Mytilus edulis: one gene and its partners. The protein of the gene in region 4 purifies or fractionates together with the protein of the main gene of each other region. This does not show direct contact. Links are inferred from orthologs where the notes say so. Each region holds a gene or a part of one and is shown on either strand. Other genes may lie near its edges. The genes, in order: TIP41-like protein, T-complex protein 1 subunit eta-like, coiled-coil domain-containing protein 6-like and serine/threonine-protein phosphatase 4 catalytic subunit.

The links.
Region 1: the proteins of serine/threonine-protein phosphatase 4 catalytic subunit (region 4) and TIP41-like protein purify together in Homo sapiens (co-immunoprecipitation; 6 studies listed by BioGRID and IntAct, with this or other methods). This does not show direct contact. The link is inferred for Mytilus edulis from reciprocal best matches to the Homo sapiens genes PPP4C and TIPRL.
Region 2: the proteins of serine/threonine-protein phosphatase 4 catalytic subunit (region 4) and T-complex protein 1 subunit eta-like purify together in Homo sapiens (affinity purification with mass spectrometry; 4 studies listed by BioGRID and IntAct, with this or other methods). This does not show direct contact. The link is inferred for Mytilus edulis from reciprocal best matches to the Homo sapiens genes PPP4C and CCT7.
Region 3: the proteins of serine/threonine-protein phosphatase 4 catalytic subunit (region 4) and coiled-coil domain-containing protein 6-like purify together in Homo sapiens (affinity purification with mass spectrometry; 7 studies listed by BioGRID and IntAct, counting the BioPlex papers as one, with this or other methods). This does not show direct contact. The link is inferred for Mytilus edulis from reciprocal best matches to the Homo sapiens genes PPP4C and CCDC6.

What each region holds. Positions count from the first base shown.
Region 1 is NC_092353.1:75,586,031-75,593,834, forward strand, and holds the start of TIP41-like protein, read right to left. Parts: upstream 3,574-7,804; 5' UTR 3,566-3,573; coding exon 3,516-3,565; intron 2,879-3,515; coding exon 2,753-2,878; intron 1,578-2,752; coding exon 1,398-1,577; intron 1-1,397. UniProt on the Homo sapiens protein: May be a allosteric regulator of serine/threonine-protein phosphatase 2A (PP2A). Isoform 1 inhibits catalytic activity of the PP2A(D) core complex in vitro. The PP2A(C):TIPRL complex does not show phosphatase activity.
Region 2 is NC_092347.1:85,968,856-85,976,902, forward strand, and holds the start of T-complex protein 1 subunit eta-like, read left to right. Parts: upstream 1-4,441; 5' UTR 4,442-4,455; coding exon 4,456-4,533; exon of another isoform or gene 4,534-4,587; coding exon of another isoform or gene 4,588-4,590; exon of another isoform or gene 4,591-4,617; intron 4,618-6,090; coding exon 6,091-6,244; intron 6,245-6,687; coding exon 6,688-6,794; intron 6,795-8,047. UniProt on the Homo sapiens protein: Component of the chaperonin-containing T-complex (TRiC), a molecular chaperone complex that assists the folding of actin, tubulin and other proteins upon ATP hydrolysis.
Region 3 is NC_092352.1:18,225,649-18,234,269, forward strand, and holds the start of coiled-coil domain-containing protein 6-like, read right to left. Parts: upstream 3,399-8,621; 5' UTR 3,366-3,398; coding exon 3,144-3,365; intron 2,221-3,143; coding exon 2,071-2,220; intron 1,094-2,070; coding exon 965-1,093; intron 1-964. Other genes in the region: uncharacterized protein, read left to right, coding at 3,626-3,658, 5,945-6,059, 7,294-7,461, 8,091-8,165, 8,423-8,621.
Region 4 is NC_092349.1:81,644,692-81,653,426, forward strand, and holds the start of serine/threonine-protein phosphatase 4 catalytic subunit, read left to right. Parts: upstream 1-5,309; 5' UTR 5,310-5,386; exon of another isoform or gene 5,387-5,389; intron 5,390-6,971; 5' UTR 6,972-6,989; coding exon 6,990-7,015; intron 7,016-8,045; coding exon 8,046-8,169; intron 8,170-8,735. UniProt on the Homo sapiens protein: Protein phosphatase that is involved in many processes such as microtubule organization at centrosomes, maturation of spliceosomal snRNPs, apoptosis, DNA repair, tumor necrosis factor (TNF)-alpha signaling, activation of c-Jun N-terminal kinase MAPK8, regulation of histone acetylation, DNA damage checkpoint signaling, NF-kappa-B activation and cell migration.

The DNA of each region.
Region 1 (7,804 bases), on a different chromosome or scaffold from region 4:
AACAAACCATTGAGTTAGAAATAAAAACAATGGTGAGTGAATCAAGTGATGCTAACATAGCTGATGAAGAAAGTTTCAGAATGACATTTATTTGTAAACTTCCTCTTAAGAGGTCGCTTTCGGGTGGTAATATTCGTGTTGTCAATATTAGTGAAGGTTTATCTGAAATATCAAATATTGACATCAAGCGTGCACGAAAGAGGTCCCTTTCTGGACAGCAGGTACAAGCTGGTGTCTTATAAAAAAACTCAAAAACTAGAATAACTGTGCTCTCCCAAAGTGATAACGTTATATTCCGTCCATTTACAATGTATAGGGGCCCTGTATACGGTAGATGAGAGAAACATTGAAGGCGTGGTGATTAAAGTGAATGAATATGGCGGCTATAAATTTGGAACTTAAGTTGGACAAATAAAGAGAAGCTAGGTCCATTTTTTGGCAAATGCAACTTTAAATGTGTCTGAAGTCCCAATGAGTGATATGAGTGTGAGAGAGATAGTGCACAAGTTATTATTGAGAGGAGGGCAAGTTTTTGTGCATTATCAGTGTAAGAAAGGCAGTTGTAATTATGGTAGGTGTAATTGTAGAAGAATGAATGTTTTGAGCAACTCAAGGTGTCACATGTGTCTGTCTTTTAACAACAAGTAAAAAATTTAATGTTTCTAAAATGCATGAAAATGTAGTATTTTATGCATGCTGTAAATAATGCACCTTCTTTTGCTTTTGATTATTGTTCTTTATTATTTAATAAATTTCAATAATGCATGTATATTCTGCTTTATTATTATTTTTAAAGTTTTGTACAGGTTAAAACCATTTTTAAGCTATATTTTGTACATGTTATAACATGTACGGGGTCATTTTGTGCATGTTATAACTTGTATTTTAGCATTGTACAAATTATAACATGTACAATATTTTTGTACATGTTATAACCTGTACAAAATTGCAACTTGTACACGACATATACAATTTCATATATGTTAGCTACTCTGTAATTGGGCCTTTTGATACTGGGTCATGTAAGAGCTATTATGGAAGCAATATTAAAATAAGTGCAATTTGAAAGAAAAAAAAAACACCTAATTTATTCCCAAGAATATGCCATGACCCAATGCATTCTTTATTTGCTGGACAAAATATTATTAGTTGCCAAAACTCTTTTGAATCAGACATTTCTCATAGCAATCAAATCTCACATTACATGATCACCTTTGATTATAACAAATGTATAACTTTACCAAACTTGTTATGCCATTCATCTTTATTTTTCAGATAATTCTGTGTTTTGTTTTGTTTTTTTGATTGAAACTGTGATTGGTCAGTTAACCTGTAAATGAAGATGATCTAGTAACCACTTTTCTCTCAAAGCAGAGACAAACTTAACAATAACAAACCTAGCCTGTCTCCAAGCATCAGATACAGCCACTTTGAGTAAATCGTTTCGAGGGTCCACCAATCTAAGAGCATCAAGAGCATTGAACTCCAAACCAAATCCTGCTGAATGTTCTAAACGTAGTAAGTTATCAGCAAACACCATCTCAGGAACCTGTGGAAGTTCCAATTGACTCTCGAATCTAAAATGACATTAAAGATATTCACCCAAAATTTAAATCTATAAATGAGTTAGTTTGAACACATTGAATAGAGTTAGGGACTGGAGCAACCATTTAACTTCATTATTTTTTTGTCTGAGTCAGAATTGCCTTTTTTTTTTATTTTTCAAAGCTATCCATTAAATCATTTTGGTTCAAAATTTAACACTATAAAGTATTGGTTTGTCATCTGCATGACCACAATTTTTTTTTTCAAATTGGGATCAGAATGGTTTTTAACCCCCTTTCCCGCTTTTCAGTCTTTACTTTACCTTTCAATTGATGTAATTTGTTATAGAGTTAATTTTCTTGCCATTTTGAAGGGGTCAATATAGATGATTTTTATATTTGACTTAATATCCAAATTGAAATATGCAGTACAAACAGGTCTGACAAAAGATGGATCTTATATGAATCAAGAAAGGCCAAAATAAATCAAAATTGTTTAACAGTCTAGCAGTCGGTATGACATGTTGAATTTGGCTGATTTATGAAGGACTTAGTCCTCCACCATGGCAACTAAAGGGCAGTAACTCTTGATCAAATTGTGTTGATCTGAACCTTTCTATTGTTAACTTATACATGTATCCTGGTCTACTTAATTTTAATAATAAAATATAAAATAGATAGCAGTTGGTATCTGTTTGTTGCTCATTTTACAAAATTCCTTCCAACTGTTTTAAGGTACAAAATGTTAAAAAGTGAATTTCTAATTGCTATTACTTTTGTAGTTTTTTTTGTTTGCGAGTTGAATTTCCAATAATACAGTATATCAACCTCAGGAAAATCAATATGAGTGTAATATAACAATTTTTTCAGCTTTTAAGGCTCATGACAATATGCATTGGTCTTCAATCTTAATTGACTAGGATAGTCAGTTTTCCTGACAAAGTCTGGTAGTTCTCTTCGGGTACTCTGACTTCCTCACTAATAAAAAAAATGGCAAAGATAGAAAGTGATGTTGAAGACCAATAATCAATCCAAATTTGGCAGCATTCCTCCTGTTACACACTGATTGATTGAGCTGTTTAATGTCATGTCAGCTCAAACATTCTATGTTATGGTGAGTTAACTTTTCACAGTGAATGGCTCAACTTTTTTGGTGTGTACTGCAGGTTTGTGTAAATTGTAATCATCTTCTCATCATTAGACATTACCTCTCTCTATCTGGACCTTCCGATTTCAGAATGTGTGACTTTATAGACGTACAACGCCATGGTCCAAACTGGAATTTCTCTGTAACAGATCTAGCTTTAGCTGCAGTACTGTCACCTCCCATCATCCTGAAAAATATATGCATCTAAGAAAATTATAACCTAGCTTTTCAAAATAAGAAAACAAAATATTCATCTTATGTTATGGAAAATGGAGATCTTCTTTCACATAAACCACTACAAAAGATCTAACACAAGGCTGCTGCTAAAATTTATTTGCCTGAAATCCGGGTCTGTTTGACCCAAATCTGACACGTCTGTTTCTACACATGTTCTATACACATTATCACGAGTTGTCCGCCATTACTGGATATCAATAAAGTCATGAAAGTTCCCGTAAATTTTATACGTCATAATAGAAAATATCCGATGCCACAATGGAAAAGTGATTGTTGTATGACGTCAAAAGTTCAAGCGGGACAGATTCTCAGGTCAGCAGGACAAAATTCCAAATAGTGATAAAATGTTTGTTCGCCACCTTTCAGGTTCACACCCCTGGGTAGGTTTAAACCCTTTTTTAAAGCTTTTTTTAAAGGATTTGTGTTGAATAAAATTTCAATCATGCTTTAATAAGTGTATTGCTATAAAATTTAAAAAGAAGTCTTTTTTTTTTTTTTTTTAAAACCTTGTCATTTTTGTGATATATATGGTTGAGCTTTCGACCCAGAGAAGCTGATATTCATTTTTATCAATATCACCAACACACTTTGACAAAAAAATATGGCAGTGTTTAAATAAACTTAAGATTCTTGACATGAATTTGTCAAGATTGTATGACAGTGTGTACCTGATCATCAAAAAAATAACTTTTTTTACATGTTTGCCATAAACTGGTTTCTGTAAATGTCGTTTTGTTTTTATTGTTTAAGTTTAAGTTCCATCACTGTAGTATACCAGATTAATAATATTAATTCGATCAGAATTTTAAAATTTCATATTCATATCAATTAATACTAGATATAAAGGAATAAAAAAAGTTAACAAGAGTTTTGCGACATCTTTTGCGGAATAATGTGCAAAACGAATTGCCTGTAATTTAAACAAGTAGTAGCTTTTCTAAAAAAACTAGCCGTCTCTTTGCTTAAGGAATATCATGAAAGTTGGGAAGTGTTTTCACTTTGTAGATTGATTCATTCAGAATGCCTTGTTTAAATTGTAGCGGATTACAAAATTAAAAAAGACTTAAATTGTAAAAATATTCAAGTCAGTACTCCATGACTCAAGTTACAACAAAATATATAATTTTATTTACGAGTATACGTTATTTTATTTAGTGGCATGTAGTCCAATATTATGGTTATCTTTCTTGTTTAACATCTCACCCCTTATTTTATTGATTATGTAATATAAAGAAGGCGCTACCTTAAATGCCAGCTTTGATACCAACACTATTTCCAAAAAACTGATGAGGGCCCTCATGGGGTTTTTGATTATGTGATTACTTGGCCGTTTTTTTAAAGATTATTTGATTATTAAGCCAAATATTTCATGATTATTTGATTACCTAGGACTGTATTTTTAGTTTATGATTATTTGATTACTAAAGATAAGCAAATATTTAATGATTATGTGATTATATTGGCAAAAAAATGGTGATTATGTGATTACTAGGACCCCCCCATGAGGGGCCTCACTGATTGTTTATTGGTTGCTAAAAGTCCAGTTGCAAATATTTCATGCATGTTCAGGACGAATGTATATATATAATTTTTGTCTAAAGTAAAAAATAATAAAAAGTTCAGAGGGAAAATGCTTAGGGAATGATTATGAATTTCAAAGGGCAGGAGGGAGTGTGGTATTTTTCTAGTCCAAATAATTATGACGTCTTGAAAGCCTATTATATTATTTTCTTTGACACGTCCCTGGAAGGCGTCAAAGCAATGATTTAAAATAGCCTTCCTAGAAGTCAAAAATATTTGGACCAGTATTTTTCTATTTTATTGATTTTGTATTATACATTGTCCGTTCAGTGTATGTTCACATGTAACTGTTTTTGTTAATATGCTTTTTGATTGCGTTAAGCCATTTCAATTGATATTCTATAGTGAGTCTTTCTATGTTGTGATGTTACACTATTGTTTAAAATAAGGGTGAAGTTTTGGTACCATTAAAACATTTAAACCCGCTGCATTTGTTTGCACCTGTCCTAAGTCAGGAATCTGTTGTTCATTGGTTGTCGTTTGTTGTTGTGGTTCACAAGTATTTTTTTTATAAAGATTAGACTGCTGGTTTTCCTTCTTGAATTGTTTTACACTAGTCATTTTGGGATGGGACCCTTTATAGCTTGCTGTTTGGTGTGAGCCACAGCTTCGTGTTGAAGGCCATACTTGGACCATAACAGTTAACTGTTTACAAATTGTGACTAGGCTTTGATGGAGAGTTGTTCTTGTCTTTTTACAGTATATACTTACAGTAACTGAGATCACCAATGATTTTGAGTGGGGATCGTGTTGCCCAGTCTTTTCTAGTATTGCTGTGTATTTTGAATACTGTTGTTTGTATTTTGATTGTTGTTGATCCTTTTTTTTTGCCATGGAGTTGTCAGTTTGTCATCGATATATGAGTTTGAATATCAGTCTTTGATATCTTCCACCTCTCTTTAATTGGGGACTAGGTTTAAGTAAATAACGGCAAAACCCAAACAAATTGTATTCATCTTAGCTTTCCATATACATATGTATACTGCCACTTTCCAGTGTCAACCTGAATAATTCACGGTTGGAAAAAGCCAAATAAAAAAATAATTCCGAACTCCAAGGAAAATTCAAAACGGAAAATCCCATATCAAATGGGAAAACCAAAAAGCCCAAAACACATCTAACGAATGGAAATCAACTGTCATATATTCCTGACTTTGTACAGACATTTCCTTATGTAAAAAAGTATGCATTAAACCTGGATTTACAGCTAGCTAAACCTCTCACTTTTATGACAGTCGCATAACATTACATTATATTAACCACAATGTCATTACAGTGAGTTGACTGTTAGTGTTGCTCTCCACCAATTGCAACTCATTCAAAATTTTGACCAAATTGCAATTTGTTTTATAAAATCAAATTGTTCAACTGGTCAGAAATTTGAACCAATTGCTGTAGAAAACCACAGCCAAGTCATGAAAGTGCAAGGTGATAAAATAAAACATACTTACAATCCTATAAGACTTTAACTCCACTTTAATGATGTTGTGACAGAATTAGTTTATCATAAAATTGAGAATGGAAATGGGGAATGTGTCAAAGAGACAACAACCCGACCAAATAAAAAACAACAGCAGAGGGTCACCAACAGGTCTTCAATGTAGCGAGAAATTCCCGCACCCGGAGGCGTCCTTCAGCTGGCACCTAAACAAATATATACTAGTCCAGTGATAATGAACGCCATACTAATTTCCAAATTGTACACAAGAAACTAAAATTAAAATAATACAAGACTAACAAAGGCCAGAGGCTCCTGACTTGGGACAGGCGCAAAAATGCGGCGGGGTTAAACATGTTTGTGAGATCTCAACCTCGCACTATACCTCTAACCAATGTAGAAAAGTAAACGCATAACAATACGCACATTAAAATTCAGTTCAAGAGAAGTCCGAGTCTGATGTCAGAAGATGTAACTTAAGAAAATAAACAAAATGACAATAATACATAAATAAAGTCAGACTACTAGCAGTTAACTGACATGCCAGCTCCAGACTTCAATTAAACTGACTGAAAGATTATGATTTCATCATATGAACATCAGTTTGTAGAGTTATATTAAAGTCATTTCCATGCTGAAGGGGAAGTTCCGAACTTTTTATTTTGAATTGCTATTAAATTGTCCAAACTAAGCTTTCATATAGTTTTTCTTTCTAAAAGTATTCTATATTTATAAGAATCAGACATTATGTGAATTAAAAATTTTCATATTCAGTAAAATATGTGTAAAATTGCAATATATGTTTGTAGGAAGTTTCCATGGGGGAGATAATAACTTTTCTTTCAAAAAGGCTTTATTCAAAAGAATAATATTTAGGTTATCTCCCCTGAAAACTTATCAATAGCATATTGTTATTTCACACATATTTTACTGAATATATGATGTTTTATTTAAAATGATATCTGATTCTTATAAATATAGAATACTTTTAGAAAGAAAAACTACATGAAAGCTTAGTTTGGACAATTTTATAGCATGCAGTTCAAAATAAACAGTTCCTCTTCAGCATGGAAATGACTATAATATAACTCTACAAACTGATAAACAAATTTTGTCGCAACATCATTAAAGTGCATGGAGTTATAGGATTGTAAGTATATTTTATTTTATCTCTTTGCACTATCACATATTGAATGAACAATTTGTTCAATATTCTGACCAGTTGAACAATTTGGTTTAATAAAACATATTGCAATTGGGTCAAAATTTTGAATGAGTTGCAATTGGTGGAGAGCAACACTAACAGTCAACTCACTGTAATTACAATATTCATAAGACAAAGTTTTCATCTCAGTCGAAATTACTGTCAATTTGAACAAGATATATTCTTGATAAGATTAAGCTGTGCCAGTGTTTGTAACTTGTGATTTACTTTTGTATACCATTTTTTAATACGTTTTGCCCATCATTATCTATTCTTTATAGTTTAGCACCTCATTATTCTGAGTCTCTATTCCTTATTTGTTTTGGTCCATTTTTCTCTTTTCTTTTATGTTTTACCCTTTTTCTCTATTCTGTAAACCCTATCAACACCTTCTATAATTCGTTCATATTTTGGTGATGCACATACAACTTGATTTAATGTTATGATATTTAAATGTAATTCGATCTTCAGCTTGGAGAACGATCATTAGTTTTGTCTTCTTCTTCAAAGAAATGTGCCACGGATATGAAATAAAAAATCATCTATTTTTAATTTCCGTTGATTATATATGTTCATGCATGTGTCGCAACGTTGAGCACTGTGGCCGATTTACGGAAACGGCAGCTCGAAGTAATGTGCTCCTTTTATTGGGA
Region 2 (8,047 bases), on a different chromosome or scaffold from region 4:
TATAATAGTCCACAATCTTCATCATATAAAATTGAGAATGGAAATGGGGAATGTGTCAAAGAGACAACAACCCGACCAAATAAAAAACAACAGCAGAGGGTCACCAACAGGTCTTCAATGTAGCGAGAAATTCCCGCACCCGGAGGTGTCCTTCAGCTGGCCCCTAAACAAATATATACTAGTCCAGTGATAATGAACGCCATACTAATTTCCAAATTGTACACGAGAAACTAAAATTAAAATAATACAAGATTAACAAAGGCCAGAGGCTCCTGACTTGGGACAGGCGCAAAAATGCAGCGGGGTTAAACATGTTTGTGAGATCTCAACCCTCCCCCTATACCTCTAACCAATGTAGAAAAGTAAACGTATAACAATACGCACATTAAAATTCAGTTCAAGAGAAGTCCGAGTCTGATGTCAGAAGATGTAACCAAAGAAAATAAACAAAATGACAATAATACATAAATAACAACAGACCACTAGCAGTTAACTGACATGCCAGCTCCAGACTTTAATTAAACTGACTGAAAGATTATGATTTCATCATATGAACATCAGGCACAATCCTTCCCGTTAGGGGTTTAGTATCATACCATCATAACATATATGAGAAGAACATAACCCGTGTCATGCCAACAACTGTTTTTAGAATAAATGTGTTTAGTTCCGATGCAAAGACCTTATCAGTGACTCAATATTAACGCCAACATATGCAATCTTTAATGACTTGACAACAGTATCGTAATTATATCCCTTCTTAATAAGTCTATTCAAAGGTTTTGTAAGTTTCTGAGGTGAATACTGACACCTTTGTGCTTTATAAAGAATATTACCATAAAAAATTGGATGTGAAATACCTGAACGTATTAGAAGTCTGCATGTTGAGCTATATTTACGAATGATGTCTTTATACCGATGATAAAATTTAGTAAATGTTTTGACTAGTTTGTGATATCGAAAACCCTGGTGTAATAATTTTTCAGTAATACATAAATTTCTCTCATTAAAATCTAAAACATTGTTACATACACGAGCGAATCGTACAAGTTGAGATATATAAACACCGTAAGATGGTGACAAGGGAACGTCACCATCTAAAAACGGATAATTAACGATAGGAAATGAAAAATCATCCCTTTTATCATAAATTTTAGTATTCAGCTTTCCATTAGTGATATAGATATCAAGATCGGGAAAAGGGCTGTGGTCATTGTTAGTATTAGCTTTATTTAAAGTTATATGAATATCAAGTAATAAAAAAATCCAGATTAAATAACTTGTCGATCGAGTGCCAACTCGATATGTTTGATAAGGCTATTGTTCCTATACTAACTTATGGGTGTGAGATATGGGGATTTGAAAATTTAGATATTCTTGAGAGAGTTCATTTGCGTTTTTGCAAACATATATTGAGGTTAAAAAATTCAACCCCCAATTTTATGGTCTATGGGGAATTGGGAAGATACCCGATTTCAGTTACCGTCAAGTCACGTATGATTAATTTCTGGTGTCGTTTACAAGAAGGGAAAGAGAGCAAACTATCATGTTTATTATATAAGCTGTTATATGTAAATCTCAATAACTATGGTTATGATAGTAAATGGATATTATATATAAAGAAAATTTTTGATGACTGTGGAATGTCAAATATATGGCAAAGTCACAACCTTTTTGAGAAACATTGGGTTGTATTGAGTGTTCAGCAAAGATTAAGAGATCAGTTCATTCAAGAATGGTCAACAGAAATGAACAATTCGCCCAAGGGGCTGTGTTATAGATTGTACAAAAATGTTTTTAAATTTGAACACTATTTATCAGTACTACCATTTAATTTATTAATAACCTTATGTAAATTTAGATGTGGGAATAACCGTTTTCCCATTGAGACGGGAAGGTGGCGCCACATCCCAAGATCTGAAAGATTGTGTCACCTTTGCGCCTCAGCTGACATTGGTGATGAATACCATTATATCATGTCATGTAATTATTTCAAAGATGAAAGATGCAAATACTTACCACAATATTGTAATAAAAATATAAATGTTATCAAATTCAAACAAGTATATTCAACCCAAAATATTGTTGAGCTTGAGAAACTTTGTAGATTTATTAAATCTATTTCTGTGAAAGTCTATCCTCCTGGTTAATACAACCAGAGACATATATACACATGTGTATATATGTCTCTGATACAACTATGTGTTTATTTATCATTTGTGTAAATATTTATCATATTAATTTGTATTTCACACATGCTATATCTTATATATGTAATATATATTATTGTAATATCTTCTCTGTAACTATGTATTTGGTTTATGAGAATAAAGATCATTCATTCATTCAGCACAATCTCTCCGGTTAGGGGTTAAGTGTCATACCATGATAAAAAAAATATGAGAAGTCAGGACTGTTATTCAGTCAGGGCCGTAACTAGCCCCTTTAAATAGTGAGGCAAAATATAAATCGAAAAATTTTGGGCGAGCGGTCTAGGGGCTGCTTAAGGCCCCCAGAGGCTCTGAGAAAAATAACGCAAAATCGTGCATTCTGAGCGTTTCCCAGACTCTTTCTTGCTTTAAAACGGCTTAATTAATTTTTAGATATTTTTTCGACAATGTGATTAGACTTTGGTGACTTTTTTATGAGGTCTTTTATGACTAGATTTAAATATAGTGACATTGCAGTATTATACTTTAAGTACTAGTACTGCTAAGTCCACACTAGGGACCATCTCCACCTTGTTTTACGATCTTTTACGGTATTAATGATTCTTTAAAAGTATTGTTGAAGACCATCCGGCAACTATCAAGATGAAGAGCTGGAACACAAACTTTGCGGACCATTGATCATTTGTATTTTTTCTATGCATTGACTTTGTGTGCGATTATGTCCCCATACTCCTTTATTATCTGCTAAAGGGTCTCAACACGACTTACCTTTCAATGTAAAAGGTCATATGGTCCGAGTACACAGTTATTTCGTAGTGCATTTCCTTTAGACAATAAATGGAAATAAAAAAAATCCCACCTGCACTTTCTCCATAATATTTTTACAGTGTGTTGTACTACTTTTGGGACAAATTATATCAAAATTATAGAAAACTTCATCAGCTCTAACTCAAAATATGGACAATTTTATGTGAAGGGGGGCTTGAAATCTTTTGACAGCTTCCGAAATGCTAATTTTTGACCCTTTTCAACTGGACCAAATCACTACTTTACATTATAATTCATGAATCAAATTTTTTTACAGTGTAATTTTATCCCCCTTCTTGCTACTTGAGGCATAAAACATAAAAAAATAAATTTGGAAGGGGTATAAAAAAAATTGACAAGTAACACACTGTCCACAGTAGGGACTATATACGATAACTGTGTACTCGGACCATATATGGCAATACCTTGTTTTTTTTCTTCAAATTATTTGATACCGGGAAATATGTGACCTTACTTTAATTCAAACCATGTCAGCTATCTAGTTTTATTTACAAAAACAAAAAAAAACTGTTTTGTATTCTTTGATATCAATTTCAATTATCCATGCAGAAAGGACAATTCCACTGAGTAGCATCGCATATTCTTAAAATATATTTCTCGCACAATTCTGGACATCGGTGGACATGCAACATTGCAAAACCACGTTTACAAATGAAAATCAAAGCTCAGACTATAGTCATGACGTAGGACAATAAATGAACAAAAGACAAACCCGGAACACAGAGACCACCAACTTTGAAAACTAAAAGGAACATAGAAACATGGATAACGAAAAACATCCAGGGGATACACCAGAGAGTGAAGAGAACTTGCTTCTTGCAAGACACTTTCCGTGAAAATAATTTGATATGAAAACAACCTTTTGTTTCATTTTTTTATTTTTTATTTTTACATGAGGCATTTGCCTCATTTGCCTCAATATAGTTACGGCCCTGTCAGTGGTTAATTGTCGTTTGTTTATGTGTTACATATTCATTTTTCGTTCATTTTTTGTACATAAATTATGCTGTTTGTTTCCTCGTTTGAATTGTTTTACATTGTCATTTCGGGGCCTTTTATAGCCGACTATGCGGTATGGGCTTTGCTCATTGTTGGCCGTACGGTGACCTACACTAGTATAGCTGTTAATTTCTGTGTCATTTGGTCTCTTGTGGAGAGTTGTGTCATTTGCAATCATTTACCACATCTTCTTTTCTTTTATATTATCATATATGATCATATATATAACCTGTATCATTCCAACAACTGGTTTAGAATAAATGTGTTTATTTCCGATGCAAAGACAATGTTATCTCTTTACTTTCTCTCCCTGAAAAAAAAATCATGATTTATTCCTTTTTTGATAAATTTCTTGAAACTTGAAACTTTTTTTATTCCACAAAAGGCCTCACATGATGATGAGGCATAATAGTACAAACAATAATATTGCAAGGTATAACAACTTGAAATAAAATGCATGAACAAAATTTTCAAATCCGCGGGGAAAATTGGTTATCTACCCTTACATGCATTCTTCATTAAAGACAACAAAATGGTAGGTTCCCGTTTTGAAAGCCTGTTTAGAATCGACAACCATCTACCGATTTAAATGGTTTAAAAACATTTCATTGCTTTTTGGGTGATTTATAAGTTTCTCTTAAATTATTTTGTGGCCAAAAATATTCGGTTTGTTATTTGATTTGATAAAAAATGCCCATGTTTAATGCATGTATACACATGTATCCCCTTTAGAACATTTAGAACATTCCTGAACAATCATGTTTTCTCTTTATTTTTACAAGAGATGAAATAAATAGTTTTCATGCAAATTAAAGATTAAAAAGTCATAGAATTGCGATTTTTTGTTTCGATTGACAATTCTTTGTTGCCATTGATTTTAAGAAAACAAAATTACATTTGTTTTGGTCTTGGGTTTACAAGGGTTGCCTTGACGTTTCGAAGCTTGCCCTAGTAAATGTATACTCTATGGCTATGCCTTATAATAATGATTGAGATATTGATTGTTATTTGTTATGAATGATCATAGCTTAGTTCATTTTAAAAAAAAACTTTCTGCAGCTGGAAACGTTTTAAATCCTAGCATCCCTAAATTTGATTGCATCAAGTGTTTTAGAATTCTTTTGAGGTCACCAAAGGCCTTTATTTTAACTGTGAATTTTCTAGAATGAAAATGTGTACTTTCTTTGTAATCTTCTATGTTTCGCATCTATATAGAATTTTATATATGCCTGGTTTATCATGTTTATTGTATATAATCTTATATAATCCCACTGTTTGTCGTCTCTCACTTCTTCTGACCTTTTGTATAGGTTTGTGTTGATTAATTTATTAATCACATATTTGGTTTGTTGAAATTTAAATAAAGAAAAAAGTACAGATGTACTGTTTGTTTCTCATTGTTGAAGGCTGTACAGTTGCCTACTATTGCCTACATCCACTTTATTTGAACTTTGGTGGATTGTTGTCTCATTGACAATCATACCACACGTCCTTATTTTTATAACATTTTTAAAAGGTAAATTGGTTTCCTTTATTGTTTTGTGAATTATTTTGACGAAAAGATATTAATAAATATTGTCATAATCAATGGTATTCATATAGAGCATTTATTCTTTGTGTTAAAACATGTTGAAAGCTTGAAAAAATAAACAATAATGATCTTTTAAGCTTTCAAAATCAATCAAATCATGCACTATTCCAAATTTAAAGATCACTGTCAGAAATATTTTAAAATGATATATTATTGTTTTTGTAACTACACCAACGCTTCATTTTTAGTAACGTCAACAATCATGATTTACAAATACATAACAATAATACATGTACCATTATTAACTTTTTATATTTGATTATCTAATCACAAAAATATAATTTCATTTGAAAAATCCACCGATTTTTATTTGATATGATTTTTTATCCATTACTTTTTTAACATTTTTACTAACAATTCAAATTATTCAACCTGTATTTGAATAAAACCTTGGTTCAAAAGAAGGGAGACAATGAACTGACAACCAACTTTAGAAAAAAACTTTTTTTACAACAAATGTTAAAATTAACTGAAGTAATGTGTGATTTTATTGTATTGCAGCAGCCACAGATAATTCTTCTGAAAGAGGGTACAGACTCCTCACAAGGAGTACCTCAAATTGTTAGTAACATAAATGCTTGTCAGGCCATTGCTGATGCAGTACGTACCACACTTGGTCCACGGGGGATGGACAAACTCATTATCAATGATCAGGGTAAGAAAGAATTTAACATGACTAAGACCTGCTTCAGGTTAAAGATTTTAGTCCAGGTAGTTTTTGATGCAGTTGAGGTTGAAACAAACTTGAAACTTTATACACATATTCCCTATCATGTTGATATGATAATTCTAATTTTAATGTCAAATTAGAGTTTTTACCCTAATTTTAGGGTCCACTAAACATAATTGACAGTGCCTTTTGTCTTTTTGTCATTTTTCATGGTGATTACTTTGCCACAGCATTGCCAGTGATGTGGACTTGTAAGTTTTAATGTCCGTTTGGTATCTTTTACATCTCTTTAGTTAAAAAAAATATGCAAACACATTTTGTTAAATTGCAGTTAGACAATACTGAAGTTGTATCTTAATTGTACATGTATGTAGATTTTTTGTCACATTTAATGGAAACAAATTATGTAGAGACTTTATAAATTATAGGTAAAGCTACTATATCAAATGATGGAGCTACAATTCTGAAGACATTAGATATTGTGCACCCAGCAGCCAAGACATTGGTAGACATAGCTAAATCACAGGATGCAGAGGTTAGTTTATACATTTCTCATTGTTAAAGGCTGTTACAGTTGCCTATTACATGTACATTTACTTCATTTTAACTTCATTGGATAGTTGTCTCATTGGCTGTCATACCACATCTCTGCATTTATATCATACAGGTATGTAGAAAATTCTTTAAAGGTTAAAATTTACAGGAAATATCTTAAATAATCTCAATAACTTTTTTGCCTATCTAGAATATATATATGCATTGATAAAAGGTTTTTGTTTACACCAGTTGAGACTTATAATTGTATTTATGCTTTTCTAATTATTAAAAGGTGGGTAGTAAAATATGGTTAAACTATATTTTTTCTTCCAGGTTGAATCTGAACATTACAAATTTGTAATATCTATTTAGATACCTCCTTTGAATAATACGAAAATATTTAAGTTTTAAACTCCACTGATCATTCAGCAAAGCCAATTTTATATTTGGTCCTTGTGTCACAACTGTGGTAAAGTAATGACAATATCATCGATATCTGTCAGAGTTTTCGAGAGTTGTTGGAGGTATCTATGACCTCTTACATAGTTTGTAAAACCTACAATTTGTTGTAATATTCTTATCTTTTTAAAAAAGATGAAAAAAAGATATACAAGTTTTTCTGCATAGCATTTAATTATATTACAATAAAAATATTCCCTGTTTTACATTCATGTCCAATCTCTAATAGAAAAGGTGTTAAATAAAGATGGAAAGGGTCAGGCATTTTATGGTAAAGCAGTGATTTGGTCCAGTTGTAAAAAATCAAAAAATTAGTATGCCTGAAGATGTCAAACTGAATCAACAAAAAAGTACCCATATTTTGAGTTTAAGCTGATTATGTTTTCTATGATTTTGATATAATTTGTCCATATGTAGTACACTACATCATGTATGAACATTGAACAAAAATCATTTTGAGATTGAGCAGATGTGATTTACCAGGTAACTTGTATGTGTCATTGTCTTAACGAAATGCATTATTAATAACTGTTCTTTGGATGTCTATTTCTTTTTTACCAGGTTGAATATGAACATTACATATTTGGAATATCTTTTCACGTTACTTCCTATGAATTGAACAAATATTTGAGTTTTATCCTCCACAGATCATTCAGCAAAGCCAGTTGTATCTTTGGTCTTTGTGTCACAACTGTGGTAAAGTAATGACAATATCATCGATATCTGTCAGGGTTTTCGAGAGTTGTTGGAGGTATCTATGACCTCTTACATAGTTTGTAAAACCTACAATTA
Region 3 (8,621 bases), on a different chromosome or scaffold from region 4:
TACTGACTAATATGGTTTGTATAAGCTTAAGATCCTTCAAACATTAATGTGATAGATATATTAAAGACTGTTTTACAAAAGAATAGAACTGTTTTACATTCAAAGTCGTATTATAGTGATATCTGTTATGTACAGATTTCGACTCTCACTGATTATTTTCTTCTTTTACACATGCTTTTTAATTTTCCTGTTTAAACATACACAAGTTTCTAAATTGTTTTTTAAGTGAATTAAACTTATTTTAACAGCGTTCTAGAATCATTTACAAGCAGTTTCAGCTTCTGTTTGATGATGGAAAACAGGTTTTTCAAAGAAAATACTGCAAACGACCGCACAGGATTTGAAATTACCGGAGTTTCATTAGACCCTATCTAACAGTTACAAAAAGTTTTATTACCTAATATTTTGTGGGGAGAAGCGGGTGCAAACAATAAAAGCCTTTTTACGTAGTTTCTTTTCAGTTCCTTTTTTTCACAAACACCAATTAATTTGCATATTATCAAGGTGTTTAACAATACACCATGCATTGTTAGTTATTGTTTTGTCTTTGTTTGTATATTAAAATGAGAAGATGTGGTATGATTGACAATGAGACAGCTATCCACCAGAGTTCAAATACATTTGTTGTAACAATGATATTAGCAATTATTGGTCATGTATATGTCTGCTATTTTTATGATGGAGTCGGTGTACATGATTGATATGGTATATTGTACTGTCAAGTTTACATCAAGTACTCAACAAATCAGTTAAATAAATGTAGCGTGAATAATCATGTCCTATCAATATGGTACTAAGTATGCTTAAGAGATCATTAAATGTCTTCCAATCAACTTAAAATATTACAGGTATTTAATGAAAACCAAGACTTCCCAGCTGGGCATATTAGGGGAACTAATAACACAATATAACAAACCAGGAATAATTTCATTATAAAATAAAAAATCTGTTCACAACTATGTACCTGTTCAAGAGTCACTTGTTTAGACAAGGTTTCTCTTTCTAACTTTTCAATCTTCCTCATCAATTTGTTAACTTGATATTCTTGTTCTTTTTCTAATGTCTCCTCCAGTTCAACTTTTTCGTTCCTAAGCTGTAAATCAAATAAGATTTATTCAAGAATTTAATAACACAATTTTTATAACAAAAACAATAATTTGTCCTTTATTTTGAAAGGTAAATGGCATGGCCCAAAATATACCAAAACTCTATTGTATGATTGGAATAAATTGATCCAATAATTCTTTAGGCTAAACAGTTATTTCCCAGGCTTATGTACCAATATACATTGCAACATTGATTGTAATCTGGGTGATGCAGGAAATTTATTAGCTTGACAATGAATCTAGGATTTGGGACAGAAACTGTCAGCTCTGGTTAGACAATTTTCATGTAATCTGTCTTGATTGCCCTTTGACCTACCACTTTCCCCAAAAAGACCATCAGACATCAGAGCCATCTCTGACTTACAAAACAATACCTCCATCAAGAATGCTCATAAAAAAGGAATGAATTTCACAAAACTGTAAAAACTAACCAAATGGCTGCACAAAATTAGGTGGACATTTTCAATGTATTAACAAACATCCTAAAAAGCCATTAAACTCTGGGTCAAAATACTCTTTATATGTTGTGACAGAACTCTACGACTGCATGCATGGTATTCTTTTCAATTTTATTTACTAATCCGAGGTATTAAACATCAGATGTTTAAAATAAGTATGAACTTCATTAGTACAAAAATAAATCAAATTTAAATTCTTAATATATTTCTAGAAAAACAAAGGATATGGGATACACATCCATGACACAAAATCAGTTCATGCACAGCAAAAAAAAAAACCACAAAAAGCAAAGGGACAAAGCTTTTATTGCTGTTCTTCATCCTCAAAGCAATCAGGTATACAACAGAGAGCAAAAAAAATCTTGCACCTCACTGCAAGTTTAAGACGGCCCCTAGCATGGGCTTGAGCAGAATTCTTTGCAAAATAATTTGGATAGACATTGTAAGAGGTAACACCACCTAATCGTTTATTTTTTTTCATTTAAGTTTACATGATCAAACTTTACCTGTGTTAATTTTCTGGACAAATCATTGGTTAAAAATTCTTCTTCTTGTTCATAATTCATAGCCAATGACTCTTTTTCCTTTTTCAGACATTGTATCTTCTTTAGTAAGGTATTACTAATGAATTCTTCCTCTTGTTCAGCTCTGGCTTGCTACAATATTTTAACAGTATTATTATAAAATGACCGATCTATTCATTCAACAAGATGTACATGTATATATCATATAAGACTATTGAAATTATCAAATGTGTATTAATTAAAAATAAGACACTCTTGCTATTCAAACCTTCTGTAACAGAAAGCTTTAAAAATGTGATTTTTTTTTTAAATAACTTGTAAAAATGTGATAAAATTTATGAGAAAAAGAATAAGATGTATATATATTTTTCGGGGAAAGGTATGTATAAATGTTAATATTAAAGTATTGTTTATAACATGTGTAAAGGACACAAGTTTGGAGGAGGTGAGCCTCCTAGATCATGCTCATGGAGATTTTGATTATGTGAGTGCTTGTTGTTTAAAATATAATTAATGATTATGTGATTTTATTTGTAAAAAAAATGATTATGTGATTACTTTGACAACCCCATGAGGGCCTCATCATTCTCATAGGTGGTTGGCATTTTTTCCCCAGAATAGACTTGCCTGGGCTTGAATAGATATTTTGAGGGCTGCCAAATCAGAAAATTGCTGTGAACACAGAATCCCAAAGCGGATAACTCATTTGAGGAACAATCCCTTATTTGCCAGGTTTTCCACATTATCTTATAAAACATTTTGATTTGAATCAATCAGAATTTTAATCATAATAATAGAGTAATTCAAAATCATGCCTTATTTTACTGATGTTCCTATCAAACAAACTAAAACATTGTATACATGTACCAAAGTCTATGAATCATATCTTAAATTTAGAAATGACAAAGAGACATGAAAGTCCTGTTAGTGACAAAATACAACAATGACAACTCAACTCCTGATCAAAATTAGACATTTTACGAACATTTCAAAAGATATACGGGGCGAAAATGCATTTCTTCAAATAAATTAACATTTAAAATTTATATGCTAACAATGTTGACACTGGCTTTCTGGAGTTCTTTTTTGTCCTCCTGTAACGTCTTGCATTTCAGTTTGTATGTTTCTAACTCCATTTTTAAAACTCTGTTTTCTTGCTGTAATGATTCGATTCTTTTCTGAAGCTGTTCTAATGTTGCTGGAGATGGTGGTTTAAGCGTAGGGCCCCCATCAATAGAGCTCGTATCACTTTCGAGCTCGCTCGCACTGTCCGCCATTTTTGTTGTTTTCTTTCAAAACGTGATCATTTGTATTTTCGAATTTAAAAATCTAACATTCAAAATACTCTGAAAATGTGTGAAATTTTGACAATCAAATTAATACGAACATATTGCAGATATTTCAAAAAAGTATTGGCTAATCAGAGAAACAATTAATTCGAAAACTATGTTCGTAAAAAGTCGGACTAATTAGTGAACTTTGCGAACTTTGCGCCGATTCTCGTCCGATATTATTGTGGATCTGGCCCCTGCTTAGCATGGCAAAACACGTTAATGTGTCAGAATTGAAGGTGAGAGACAAAAGACAAATGAAAATTGGTTGTATTGAATGTAGTTTTATTTATAAATGAGTCTACATGTCCGATCCAGAGACCGAGTAAAGAAATTTTGGATTTCTAAAATTCTAGTCAATTCGGCATCTGGTCAAATCGGCACCACTTATAGTAGGGTAGTACTAGTAATTGGGTTGCCTTTTGAGCAATAACGGTAAACAAATCTTCCAAATGATGTAACGGTAATTTTTGGTGCATGACGATAAAATGTACACTTTTTTTTTTGACAATAAGGATATCAACTGATTTTTACGCATCACATACACCTTATCGCTATTTGTCCGCCATTACTGGATATCACACAGGTTCCCGTAAAATTTTGAAGTCACAATACAAAATATCTGACGCCACAATGGAAAAGTGATTGTTGTATGCGTCAAAAGTTCAAGCGGCCGGGTCAGCCGGGATTAGCGATAAGGTGTATTGTCATTATTACACCTTATCGGCCGGCCGACCTGGCCGCTTAAACTTTTGACGCATACAACAATCACTTTTCCATTGTGGCGTCAGATATTTTGTTTTATGACGTCAAAATTTTTCGGGAACCTGTGATCCAGTAATGGTGGACAAACAGCGATAAGGTGTATTTATTCCCTAAAATAATGCTTGCAATAATTATTCGAGACCTCTGATAAGGATTTTTTGATGAATCACTGTAAAGTTTTAACCAATTTGATGCTAAAAAAGGTAAATAGCATTACTAGAAGGGGGCAGGACCTTTTTCGGGACGTCGAGATCAGGTGTTTTTCAGCTCGGGATTTCAGGATCTGGTACATTAATTCTTTTTTTCAAATTTCGGGATGTCAGGTTTTAAATTTCTTTAAATTCTGGATTTCATTTTTTTAAGCCCACATATTGGTATCAGGACCCCTCCTACCCCCTCTTTTGTTTTTTTGGAAAAAGATTAACGTGATTCTTCAGAAACGTTTGATTTTTTTTCCCTTTAAAGAAAGTTTACATATTTTTTGTCTTGCACCAAAAATTCCCAATAATGTCATTTTGCAAGAATTTTAACATTTATTTGTAATGGAGATACCCTAATAAGGACCTTCGTACAAAGTCTATTTCAACAACTAGTCAAATCAGTACCTGGTTAATTCAGCACCTGAGGTAATTTATTAGTATATATAAGTCTTATGTGTAGCTGCAGAACGGTAACTCGAATGGTCCTTTTTAAATTTTATGAAAGAGCTCTAGACTACAGCGTCAAAATTATCAAAAAATATCAAAAGGACATTAGAGCTAGGGTTCTGCAGCTATATATATTTGTTGCACGTTACAGAAGTTCCAATGGAAACTTTGTTACAAACAATGGGGCCATACATTATATTTGTTCTTACAGACCTTATTGATATTTGGGTGTCTGTACCTCTTGACCTGATAATCTGTGCCACTTGAACTATATACATCATGCAACAATCACTTTTCCTTTTTGGTGTATGTCAAAATTTAAACAAACATTTGTGATGTTCAGATGGCAGACAAATAGCAATAAGTTGTATTGGAACTCGTGTCAAATTAACATAAAGGAACCTCTATTTCATGACAACTGCACATAACTGGTAAACATAGGCTATAAGAATGGTGTCAATGTTTTTTTATTCCATACAACTAGACAGGAAATGCAGAGAAAAAAAACCAATCTGTAAAACAATGATTAAATTACTTTTTTTACCCAACTGTGGATTAAACAACTGCTTGAATTGCTTAAGGGAGATTCATGGTATACCGCCATCTTGGATTGTAATATTGCATTACACAATCAGTCTAGTTATTTGCCCAAATCTGCAAATTTGTAGACATATGTGGAGATTTATTGGTAAGACTGTTTATTTATATGAAGAAAACTTGCTGATTTATTGCATTAATCCAAATATTTAAACAAATACCAAACATTTGTGCTTTAGAATCATTTTTTTTTAACTAAGCCATTTAAGGGAAAATAACTCTTTTAGGAAAAAGAATATACTGGAATGATAGGGAAATACATTGTGTTCTTTAACAAAGACGATTTTACCACATTTAGAGAAAATTTTATGACTTACATGTACTCAGTAAGCAATATGCGATGCATCAATAAATTCCTTTAAAAGAGTATTGAATACTTTAAATCCTTTAAAAGAATAATTGCGAGCTGGACCATTTGCTTATGATCTAGGTTTTCAATTACTTGATTTAGTAGCTAGTTTGCTGTAGATGTACCTTTAAAAGTAACCCAATTAAGGTTGAAGCTATTTTTTTCAGGGATTTGATTGGTGGGTGCAGTTCAGAAATCCATATGATACCATAGAGAAACATGCTTCTTTCCTTGGAGTAGAAATAGTTTGTTTTACAGGAACTCTGTTAACCCTCATACATGGTAAGTGTAAATATGATTGGTTTACAGAAGTAATGCTTACATTTGTACAAATGAACATGTTTATAAATGAAAACTTATAAGACTTTATATATAAATATACCTCTCTACTTTTTTATGTTTATACTTTCCCTTGATGGTTGATTTTCTTTTTTAATCAATATGGGATTTCTTGATCGCTGTTCTTCATCATGTTCATTTGGTATATATTCTGTTATGAAGTCAATATTCTAGCTGTCTCCTGATTTTTTTTTCGCTATAAGGATGTCACAAAAAAGGCAACCATGCCAGATGACATCACATACATGTAGGATCAACATGATCTCTATTCAAATCATTAAAAAATAGGTATATAGCTGAACTACATAGATAATTATTAGAGAAACAAATTGTACCATTGTATCTTGTTTGATGTGATTGTTTCTCCTGTTTCTGTAGAGATGCACCATTGTATCTTGTTTGATGTGATTGTTTCTCCTGTCTCTGTAGAGATGCACCATTGTATCTTGTTTGATGTGATTGTTTCTCCTGTCTCTGTAGAGATGCACCATTGTATCTTGTTTGATGTGATTGTTTCTCCTGTTTCTGTAGAGATGCACCATTGTATCTTGTTTGATGTGATTGTTTCTCCTGTTTCTGTAGAGATGCACCATTGTATCTTGTTTGATGTGATTGTTTCTCCTGTCTCTGGAGAGATGATCAAACATTTAATGAGAAAGTGTCTTATTTGGAATTTGAGAGGAGATTTATCTTATTACAATTGATGCAAGGGTAGAAATTATATTTAACATTAAATATGTACTGTCACAATTTAAAAGTTGTAGTACACTACATACGACTGAAAACCTTTAAAAGATATGTTTGGTAAATGTTATTTAGTAAGATAGCAACCCCAAAACATTTAAATATTTTTATTTTTATTTTACTGGTAACCATATTTTCTTCAAGGAAAGACACACTTTGAAGGCAGCTATATAAATCACCGGAGTTTAGAAAAAGGCAATAGTAAATTAAACATATATTTAGATTTGTTGTTCATTAACATATTTACATTTAAGTGCTTCAATTATATTACTACAAGTAAATATACCGGAATTTGTTGGTTTGCTTTCTGTTGATCATATGTTGTGTATGATTGAAGAACATTTTGTTAAATCACATGTTAAAAATGTATTAATCTGTTCTAAAATTATGATTCAGATTCATAAGAAATAACTTTCTATTTTGATTATTTCAGCTTTAAGAAATGGTGGTCGATTTAGATGGTTATGGCTGGCAACTCTTTTCCATGGAATAACAGTGGAATGTGTTTCTTATTTCATACCAGATATTGATAATTTCTGGCATGCCCAAGGTGTAGTAACCTTCCTCGGACTCAGGCTTCCATTATACATCGCTTTAATATGTAAGTGTTTAAAATAACTTTCAATAACAGAAATAAAATCTAAATGTTCATGTGTTTGTTTTTTTACCAGTCTCATTTTTATAAAAGATTTTTAAATATAAATAACTTTGCCAAACTATTTTGGTCATAATCTTAATTATCAAGACAGCACTCAGCAATTATGTGTTCTTTTTTCTTCTTTCATTTTTCTGATATAAAATGCAATCACCTTTACACCTTAAAACTGACACTCTGACAGCAATGGAAGGTGAGAGGCATGGTTCCTTACAACTCTTTGCAGGTTTAAAACAATGTTTTATCAGTCCTTTCATTATAAAGTTTACAGCTGCATACTACGTGGATTTACAGTAACTAAATGGATTATACTGAAACTATGTCATGTATTTCAGGAGGAGTGTAGTCTTTAAAAAGTTGTTTTTTGTTTTGTTTTTTTTTGCAAGCAAAGTCAGGACTGAAGTGCATTGATACATAAACAGACTACTATCTACCGGTACCAGTAATTCAGGTAAATCAGTCATTATTCTTCACAAAAACAATTTCTTTGCATCACAACTTGAAAAGGGAGATGAGATTGAATATTATTTGTTTGTTTCATTGTAATACATTACTGTACTTTCCCTTAATTTCAGATCCCTACTTTATATATACAGCCTCAGTAGCAGTGTCACACATGAGGTTACCCTGGTGGGGAGAACCATTTGCAGGTTTGTTAAAACTAGAATAACATTGACAGATTCTATTACCAGTACTTTTTATTTTTACAAAGTATTTTTTTTGTATCATAATCTGCTAGAAGAGCAAAAGATGCTTTGATTTCTCTCATCTCTATGCTGTCATAATGTTTGATGTAAGCAGTAATAATCATAAAATAATCGATTTTCTAATGAGAGATTTGACACAATATTAATCACATTTATTTCTCATACCCTGTGTTCTTACTTTGTTTTGTTTTATATTGCAGTTGGTGTATCAGTTGTATTGATAGACCTGCCTTATGACATCATGGGTATAAAGTCGTTATGGTGGACCTGGCATGACACTGATCCTAACATTTACGATCGTCATTATTGGGTGCCGTGGACAAGCTATTACTTCCATGCAACATTTGCATGTGGGTTCACATTTGTTTTCCATGGAATAAGAAAACTTCTGGATAATCA
Region 4 (8,735 bases):
TATAAGATTTATGTTTCATGATGATAAAATTTGTAATTTTAATGCCAAAATCTGCCATGAAGTATTTTTTAGGAGAAAGTGTACATATAATGTTGTTTGTTTTCTTTTGTGTAATTGTTTTTAATAGTATGGTGTTTAGTGCTAAGATATACTGATATATATGTTATATAGATATAATATAAATGTATTTTAATCTGTGTTTTTAGTCTCTCTCATAACTCTTTGTAGAGTGGCTCTTTTATAAATTGATATTGTGTTTTATATCATTTTTTTTTCTGAAATATATATCGCACTTGAAAAAATCAACACCAGGCATTATGCATTATTGTGAAACGGGTAGATACCCACTTGTGACACCAGCATTAAATGCCGAACTATTTCGTTCTGGTGCAAACTATGTTCAGACGAAAACAAACTGTCTTCATTAATCTACAAGACTGCATATTATCAACACAGTGTAAACAATTAAAGCATCAAATTGATTAAATATGTTCAAGATATTGTAATCATGAACGGATTTGCAAATATTTTTTCACCTACAAAATGGACATTTCTCAAAGTGGCTTAATTAGAGCATCAAAATGAGGCTAATCGACCAATACAAACAGACATGGTATTCTTCAATACAAAACTCACCAAAATGTATTAACTATATAGACTGTCCAAAAAAACATTGGAGTTTGAGAACTACCTGAATATTCTTGAAGTCAAACATTTGTTTACATTATGTAAATCCAGAGCAGGTAACCATGCGTTACCTATAGAAAAGGGAAGACGACAAAACATTGCCCGATTAAAATGAAAGGACATGCTCGTTGTGTACTTCCAGTGAGAAAGGCGACGAATTTCATTATTTGTTTTGCTGTTCGCATTTGAAGAACGAAAGACAATTATTTCTACAAACTAAATTTTCAAATAGCCCAAATATAATTTCATTTTTCTCACTATTTAATCGTAAAAAACAATCTGTCTTAAGAAAACTGTGTTTATTTATTTAAGAAATAATTCATGGGGGCTTGAATATATCGTGATTTTACCACGGGTTGGCCCTTTATGACAAATATTTTACCCCTGAGCGATAGCGAAGGGTAAAATATCGGCATAAAGGGACAACCCGTGGTAAAATCTAGATATATTCAAGCCCCCATGAATTATTTCGATTCTGATAGGACACATACGGCAATTCTTTTCGGGATCGAAGCGCTCTAGGTGTAGGCAAATATTTGCCGTTCCCATAAATAAACGCACTAATAAACTAGCGTAAAAGAACGGAGCAAACTGCATTAGTGACATGCTTAATTATATTGTATGTTTCTCTGTAAACTTGTATTTTAAATTAGTTTTTAGAGAATAAAGTATCTATCTATCTTTAAAGAGCTCGCTGTGAGACTCAAAAAAATAATAATTGTTGTTGTTGTTGTTAATTTCGTCTCTTGACAATTATACCAAATTTTTGTTTGTATGTACATTTGTGTTGAATTTAATCTGGGACTATTATACGTTATACTAGTAATTCCAGATGTAATCATTGATTTAATCCATACTTGAATTTATCCGGGATGTAACGGACATTCTATCAACTTGAAGTTGAATCGGACAAAGAGATTATTGCAACCTTGCCTTTGTTAAAAAATCTTTTATTTTCGTGAATTTTATTCATAGATTGTTTTTTGTATTTTTTTGGAAATTAAAAAGATAAAGAAGAATGTATTTCCAATTTAAACATGTTAAAGGATCCACTTGGGTGGGGTTTAACTAAAACACGTACAAACTACCATGTAAATTGAAAGTATTGCTAAGTATCCCATGTCTTCTCATTTTTATATGGCATGGTTAGCATATATGTAAAGGGCATATGATAGAGTGACAGAACTTGCGGAAATGTAAGCCTATGGTTACAACATTCACTTACAACATTCATAAAAATAAATAAAATTGAGAAAGGAAATGGTGAATATGTCAAAGCGACAACCACCCGACCATAGAGCAAACAACAGCCGAAGGCAACCAATGGGTCTTCAATGTAGCGAGAATTCCCGCACCCGTAGGTGTCCTTCAGCTGGCCCCTAAAATATGCATAATAGTACAGTGATAATGGACGTCATACTAAACTCCGAATTATACACAAGAAACTAAAATTTAAAATCATACAAGACTAACAAAGGCCATACATTTGTGTTAAGAACTTATGGGATGACATAATGCATTGTACAAATAAAGTATATATGTAACTAAAGTATATGGAGGGGTATACGTGTTTTTGAGCACTCAATGAATCTATCTGACCTCAGTCAAAATGATTTAATGCAACAAAAGAACAAAATGGAAAACAATCTGTTGCAGACGGCTTCATTCTACAGCTCGATACGATGCATAAATAGAAAGTGACACAAATACAGTAGACACCGGTAACTGCTGACTAGACTAAATACATATAGATGAAATAGCGGCGAAAAAAAGAGTGACGATTTAAGCAACTGCATCCTCTCAAAAAAACATTTCTTTTGAACAATCGGGGTTTTTTTAATTAGCAAACGCATTTCAAGATACTATATGTGCCGTAAAATCCCATTGATTCGAACCGACTTACACTGTAGATTGTTGTCCCGCTAAGTGTGGACTCGGAAAGCACACGATTATCATACGCACACTCGGAAAGCATACTTTAAATACGAAATCTCAATAAATTTACTCATGCCGTTTAATTCTCTTTAAATAAAGATCAAAGGCGAATTTAAAAAAGACATGCCATTCTTGAATATTGTCATCATGGTCATTGAGACCGTGAGTAAAAGAAAAGTAAAACTTATAAGTCGACAACGAATTTTTTTTACACTGCCATGGAAAAAACGAGGGGGTTGGGACAACAGTACACAAAACACAATATAGAAAAGTAAAGACTGGGCAATGCAATCCCCAAAATTACCGAGGGAAAGGTGGGACCGGATCTCTGGTGCTCCGGAGGCATAAGCAGAATTGCCTCCACACATGCAGTCACCCGTCGTGTTAAAATTGAGTCCAACTATAAGAATAGAAAGAAAACTGTGAAAGAATAAAGGATTTTGTAATAAAAAAAATGAAATACATACAGAATAAAGAAGTCATGACTTAACAAACAAATCCAACAGTAACATGATGTGCAGGATCATTCTTTCAAGAATAAGCGTGGTGTTTAAAGATAAATAAAATGCCTCAAAAAGTTAAAATATACAGAAGGTATTCGTCTTTGTTTATGTTGTACTTTCACGAAAGTTTGTTTTGCCATTTACTCAAACCAAATTAAACATGTTAATTAGGAACTGAATGCCTTTTATATAGTTATATTGAGTGCTAAAGCGTTTGCCAAAGCACAAATATATGTTTGTTCAAAAACGCCAGATTGTTTATAGTTATTAAACTGAATAAAATTTAAAAATGTTTGCTAATGGATTTAAGAAAAAGAAAAAAAAAACAATTAATAGATATATATACAAACATTTTCAGAGTTTCGGATGATTAACACATTTTGTTCTATAACCTATAACATAAAATCAAACAGACCTAGAAAAATCCAATTACCGTGTTCGCTATATTCATGGACCCATTGGTGGAATTTGCCTGTTGTCTGCTCTATGGTGGGATTGTTGTCTCTTTGACACATTCCCCATTTTCATTCTCAATTTTATTATTAATATTACGGTTATATTGGGTTATATGACTGACGTCCGTCGGCAGTCTTCGGAGGTACATTGTTTATTTTAACTTGACTTTTTACAATTGTGATAAACGTTGTAATATTTTATAATTAACATATGAAAATTTGTGTCAAACCGGTGATCTTAATAAATCTGACAGCCAATGCCTCTGTAAATGTCTGTTGATAAGGCTAGCAAAGCTATATTTTGTATTAGAAAACTATTATTTTCTGAAAAGATGAATTTAGTACCACATTTAAAGCTTTTTGATTCATGCATTAAACCTATTCTGTTATATATCAGTGAAGTTTGGGCTACTATTAGTTTAGTGAAACAAAATACTACCATCGAGTCAAACTATGCAAACTTCAGTCCAAATAAAATTAAAATAAAATTTGCTAAATTTTTATTGGGTGTAAATAAAGGTGCTGTTAATAATGCTGTACTTTCTGAATTAGGTTTATTCCCACTTTCATTGTCAGCCCTTAAAAATACAATTAACTTCTGGCTTCATATCATTATTATGGACAGTGAGAGTATGGTAAAGAAAGCATACAATGAAAACTTAAACTTTCCTAATGGTTTTTGTAGTAAATTAAAAGTGTTATTAGGTAAACTTGGTTTTCAGCATGTCTGGGAAAATCAAAATACTATGTCAATGAAAAAATTACACTTTTCCTTTCAAAAGAAATTAGAAGAGGAATTCAGAAAATACTGGAAACAAGCTCTTTTTTGTGACTCTAATAATGGTAATAGTCATGGTAATAAACTAAGAATATATCGCAAAGTTAAAAATAATTTTGATTTAGAAAAATATCTTCTACTGGACCTTAACAAAAGTGTTATTTCTAAAATGAAACTAAACTTATCTTGTTCACACATATTTATAAAAGATGGAACTATATCACTTAAAAGATAAGTTTAGTTTCATTTTGAAAAGTAATGATACGGACATTAATTAGTACTGTAAGTGTAGCTGGAATATTAAGTGATATACATGTATGATTTGAACATTCATTTAAACATGTTAAAGCAAATATAATGTTGTTAAGAGCTTTTAAAGTATTAAAGCTGATTGTAATAGCTTGAATTAATAATATTGTATGAATAACACCTCCACGCAATGTAAATATAAAATATATATCTCTTATCATGATCATTGAGAAAATCTTCTTCTTCTTGCGAATACGGGAGTAGCCTTTTGACTCCTAGGTAGGTGTGTAAAACTTCCCCGAAAATATGTTTGGTTGGGTTTTTTTTGTTTGTTTGTTTGTTTGTTTGTTTGTTTGTTTGTTTGTTTGTTTATTTTTGTATTTGTATTTTGTAAATGTCGGCTGGTATCATTTCTGTATAGGAATTTACACCAATAACATTATTTGATTTGATTTTAACAAGGATTTGTATAGTACGACTATACAAATCCTTGATTTTAAACATGTAAAATGATATGTGTTCGTTCTTGTACTCTATTTGCAATAAGTAAAAGATGGTGATTAGTAGTACCATTATATATTTTGATTAAAAAAATATAAAATAAAGAAATTGTATTTGAAAATCAGGACAAAATTTTAAATCTTTTAAGGAATACAAATTATATAAAAGATTTAAAAATTATAAATTTGATAAAAATTAAAAGAGTCTCGCACATTTGTTATTTCGTTAGTGACGCAAGAAGTGACCGGAAGAGACAAGTTTTTGTTGAAGAAGCAAACCAGGTACACATTTTTAGGGTTAATCTTGTCCCCATTGTCCATTTTTCTGCATGTTTATCGATGCTAGTAATAAAATTGTGAGTCAAGTTATGTTTTCTTTATATTCAGTGAATTCTTGAACATATTGTCCATGTTGGGATAAAAAGAAAATAGTGAACGACAAAAAATTTCATGAAAAAGATGAACGTAAAAAAAGTTTACTTTCAACTTTAGAAAACCTTACAAATGGTAGATTGGAATATGTTTAAGATTTTATATTGAAAAATGTAGCATTGTCAGTCTCAAAATAAAGAAGGCCAATCAAAACGAATTACAGTGTATCCCAAACTCGAATACTCTTCCCCTGTCTGGGATCCGTATGAAAAGGAATCCGGGTCAGTTCGCGCTCATTCACGTTCGCTCCCACTCATGTTCGCCCCCTTCCACTTTCGCACTCTACATGTTCGCACCCAAAGTCTGTTCGCATCCTACATGTTCACGCCAAATTTTAATTGGTTTTGTATTTAATCAAGTTTTGGCAAGTGTATTCTTATATTTGTTGTCATTGTCTCAAAATAAAGTGAGACAGCATTTTTTTTTGCGTTGAATAAATTTTAATCACAGTTTTGGATAGTGTATTGTTAAAAAAAAAAATCCTTTCTAAATTAAGTGGTATTCTGTCAACGTTTTATTTTGTGTTGAATAACTCTTAATCATGTTTTGGTAAGTGTGTTGCTATAACTTTGTTTCATTGACTTGTTTCAAAATAAAGTGAGATTCTGACCGTTTTTTTGTGTGTGTTGAATAAATTCTATCATGATTTGGTTATAATTTATAATAGAGTTGTGTATTGCTATATTTTATTGTTTTAGATCAAAGGGACCAAGCTGTTAAAAACAATTATCTTGTGTGTTTTTCATTTAAAATCTTGAATGTTTTACTTAATTACACCAAAGCAATTTATAACAACAATCAGGATTTTCCAATTATTCAACTGGAATTTGAATTAAAATTGAGTGCGAACGGACCTTGGGTGTGAACGTGCGAAGTGCGAAAGTATTGGACGCGAACGAACCTGATACCACAAAAAGCAACATATCACTCAGGTTGAGCAGGTACAGCATAAGGCAGCCAGGTTTGTCTTTAACGATTATAAAGACAGATCACCTGGAGCAGTTTCCAACTTACTTAAATCTTTAGAATGACTTTGATATTTTTGAACTGACTAAAATTAGCAATTTTTTTAAATTCATCAAGAGTTTGCAGGAGTGTTTGGACCCTGGTAATTATTAATAAGTTAATAATCTATTTTAAATATTCAATCACAATCCAAATTCAGCTGTTTTAAATTTTTAATGTTGTGTCCATACTAGCTCAACTGTTCAGGGTTCAACCTCTGCTGTCACTTAACAACCTCTTGTAAATGCATTAAACCGTTCACTTCTGAATTAATGAACATGATGAACATGTGTTCTAAGCTTACAGTTGAAATGACCCTTACATACTATAAAAAGTGTTTACATGACATACTTTAAACCAAAAAGTTTGAAGTGAGAAGACCAATGCAGAAAATGAATTTCTCAATAGTTTTCTCTCTCTTATTTTTTCAGATAAACACAGAAGCATGAGTGAAATAAGTGATTTAGACAGGTACATATTTTTTTTAACTGGTATACATTTATTTTCGTAATCTGTTCTTGTAATGTATAAATTAATGTCTATTTAAATTAGAAACACACTTTGTTGAGTTTTAGAAATAAGAAGATGTGGTATGAGTGCCAATGAGACAACTCTCCATCCAAGTCACAATTTATGAAAAGTAAATAAAGGTCAAAATACAGCCTTCAATACAGAGTCTTGACCCACACTGAACAGGAAGCTATAAAGGGTCTTTAAGTCACTAATCAGTAATGTAAAACAATTCAAACAGCCTTTAAAGGGAAAACTGGCAATGTCTAATCTTAAAAGAAAGGAGAATCACTTATGAACCACATCAACAAACAAAAAGCTCTGAACAACACTATGTTACAGATTCCTGACGTAGGACAGGTGCAAGCAAATGCAGCTGGTTTAAGGTGGTACCCAACACCTTAACTAAAGTTAATTTGACTCGTTTAATTTTCATAAAATTTGACAAAGTATTTACTTTGACACTTTGACAAAAGAAAAATTACACTGGTTATATAGCAGTTTGACAAACACTTATTTTGATCATCGAGCAGCTTAATATTCCCTAAACAACACAACGTAATTAAAACGTTTAGCTGATTTTACAGAGTTATCTCCCTGTAGTGTAAGGTACCACCTTAAAAGTTTTAAGGCAATTTTCATCAAGTTCTAACGAAGTAACAAACTTATTTTGTTGAAACTAAAAATTATATGATGTACTCGCGGAAGTGATTAATAGTCTGAAATAACATGCAACTAACTTAAGTCAACGTTTGTCGCACTTTGATCAGCAAAACACCCTATACCTCAACCTGTTCTCAATCCAGATAACTCTAAAGGGCACATGGCGGCAAATTTTTAGAAGAAAGAGGTCAGCAAAAAATATGTGGCGTCATGCCATGCTAAATTGCTTTAGATAAGAACACTACAATGTAATACCCTGTATATTATTTCATAATGATGTCAATAAACTATAAAGTTAACATCTGTACTTATTGTTATTTTTCTGTAGACAAATAGAGCAACTGAGAAGATGTGAAATAATTAAAGAGAGTGAAGTGAAAGCATTATGTGCCAAAGCCAGAGAGATTTTAGTAGAAGAAAGTAATGTACAGCGTGTAGATTCTCCTGTAACAGTAAGTTATCTCCTTTAAAGATTGTTAAAAAATCCATTAACAATTTTATAAACTTAATAAGTGTTCAATATTTAACTGAAGCTTAAAATGTGGAGGAGAAATTTAGTACAAAAAACAACCACTTTTCCCTGCTGTTTGCTAATGCCCAACATCACTATACTATACATAAAAAAAGGTGTGGTATGAATGCCAATTAATTAAGACAACTCTCCACAAATTAACAGCTATAGCATAGATGCCAACTATTACGATTTTTTCTGTAGTTTTTCCGATTTTGCGATATAAACTACGCTATTACGGTCAAAGTCGAATAGTTACGGATTCCCAATCATCGACGTTCAATTTTGTAAAACGCGGATTTTTATCATTACTTTTCCGTCCTGGTCCAGTATTTAGGAAACGCCAATGTAATGCTTCCGGTTTCTCGGGAGTTATCAACCTATTGTTGAGTAACTAACTGACTTCCGAAGAGTCAAACTTGAACTTGCATTTTATTAAGTAGCTTTCCCCCTTTCTCTACTTCTTTTGACAAAACAAAAATATTTGAGTCGAGAACATCTGAACAA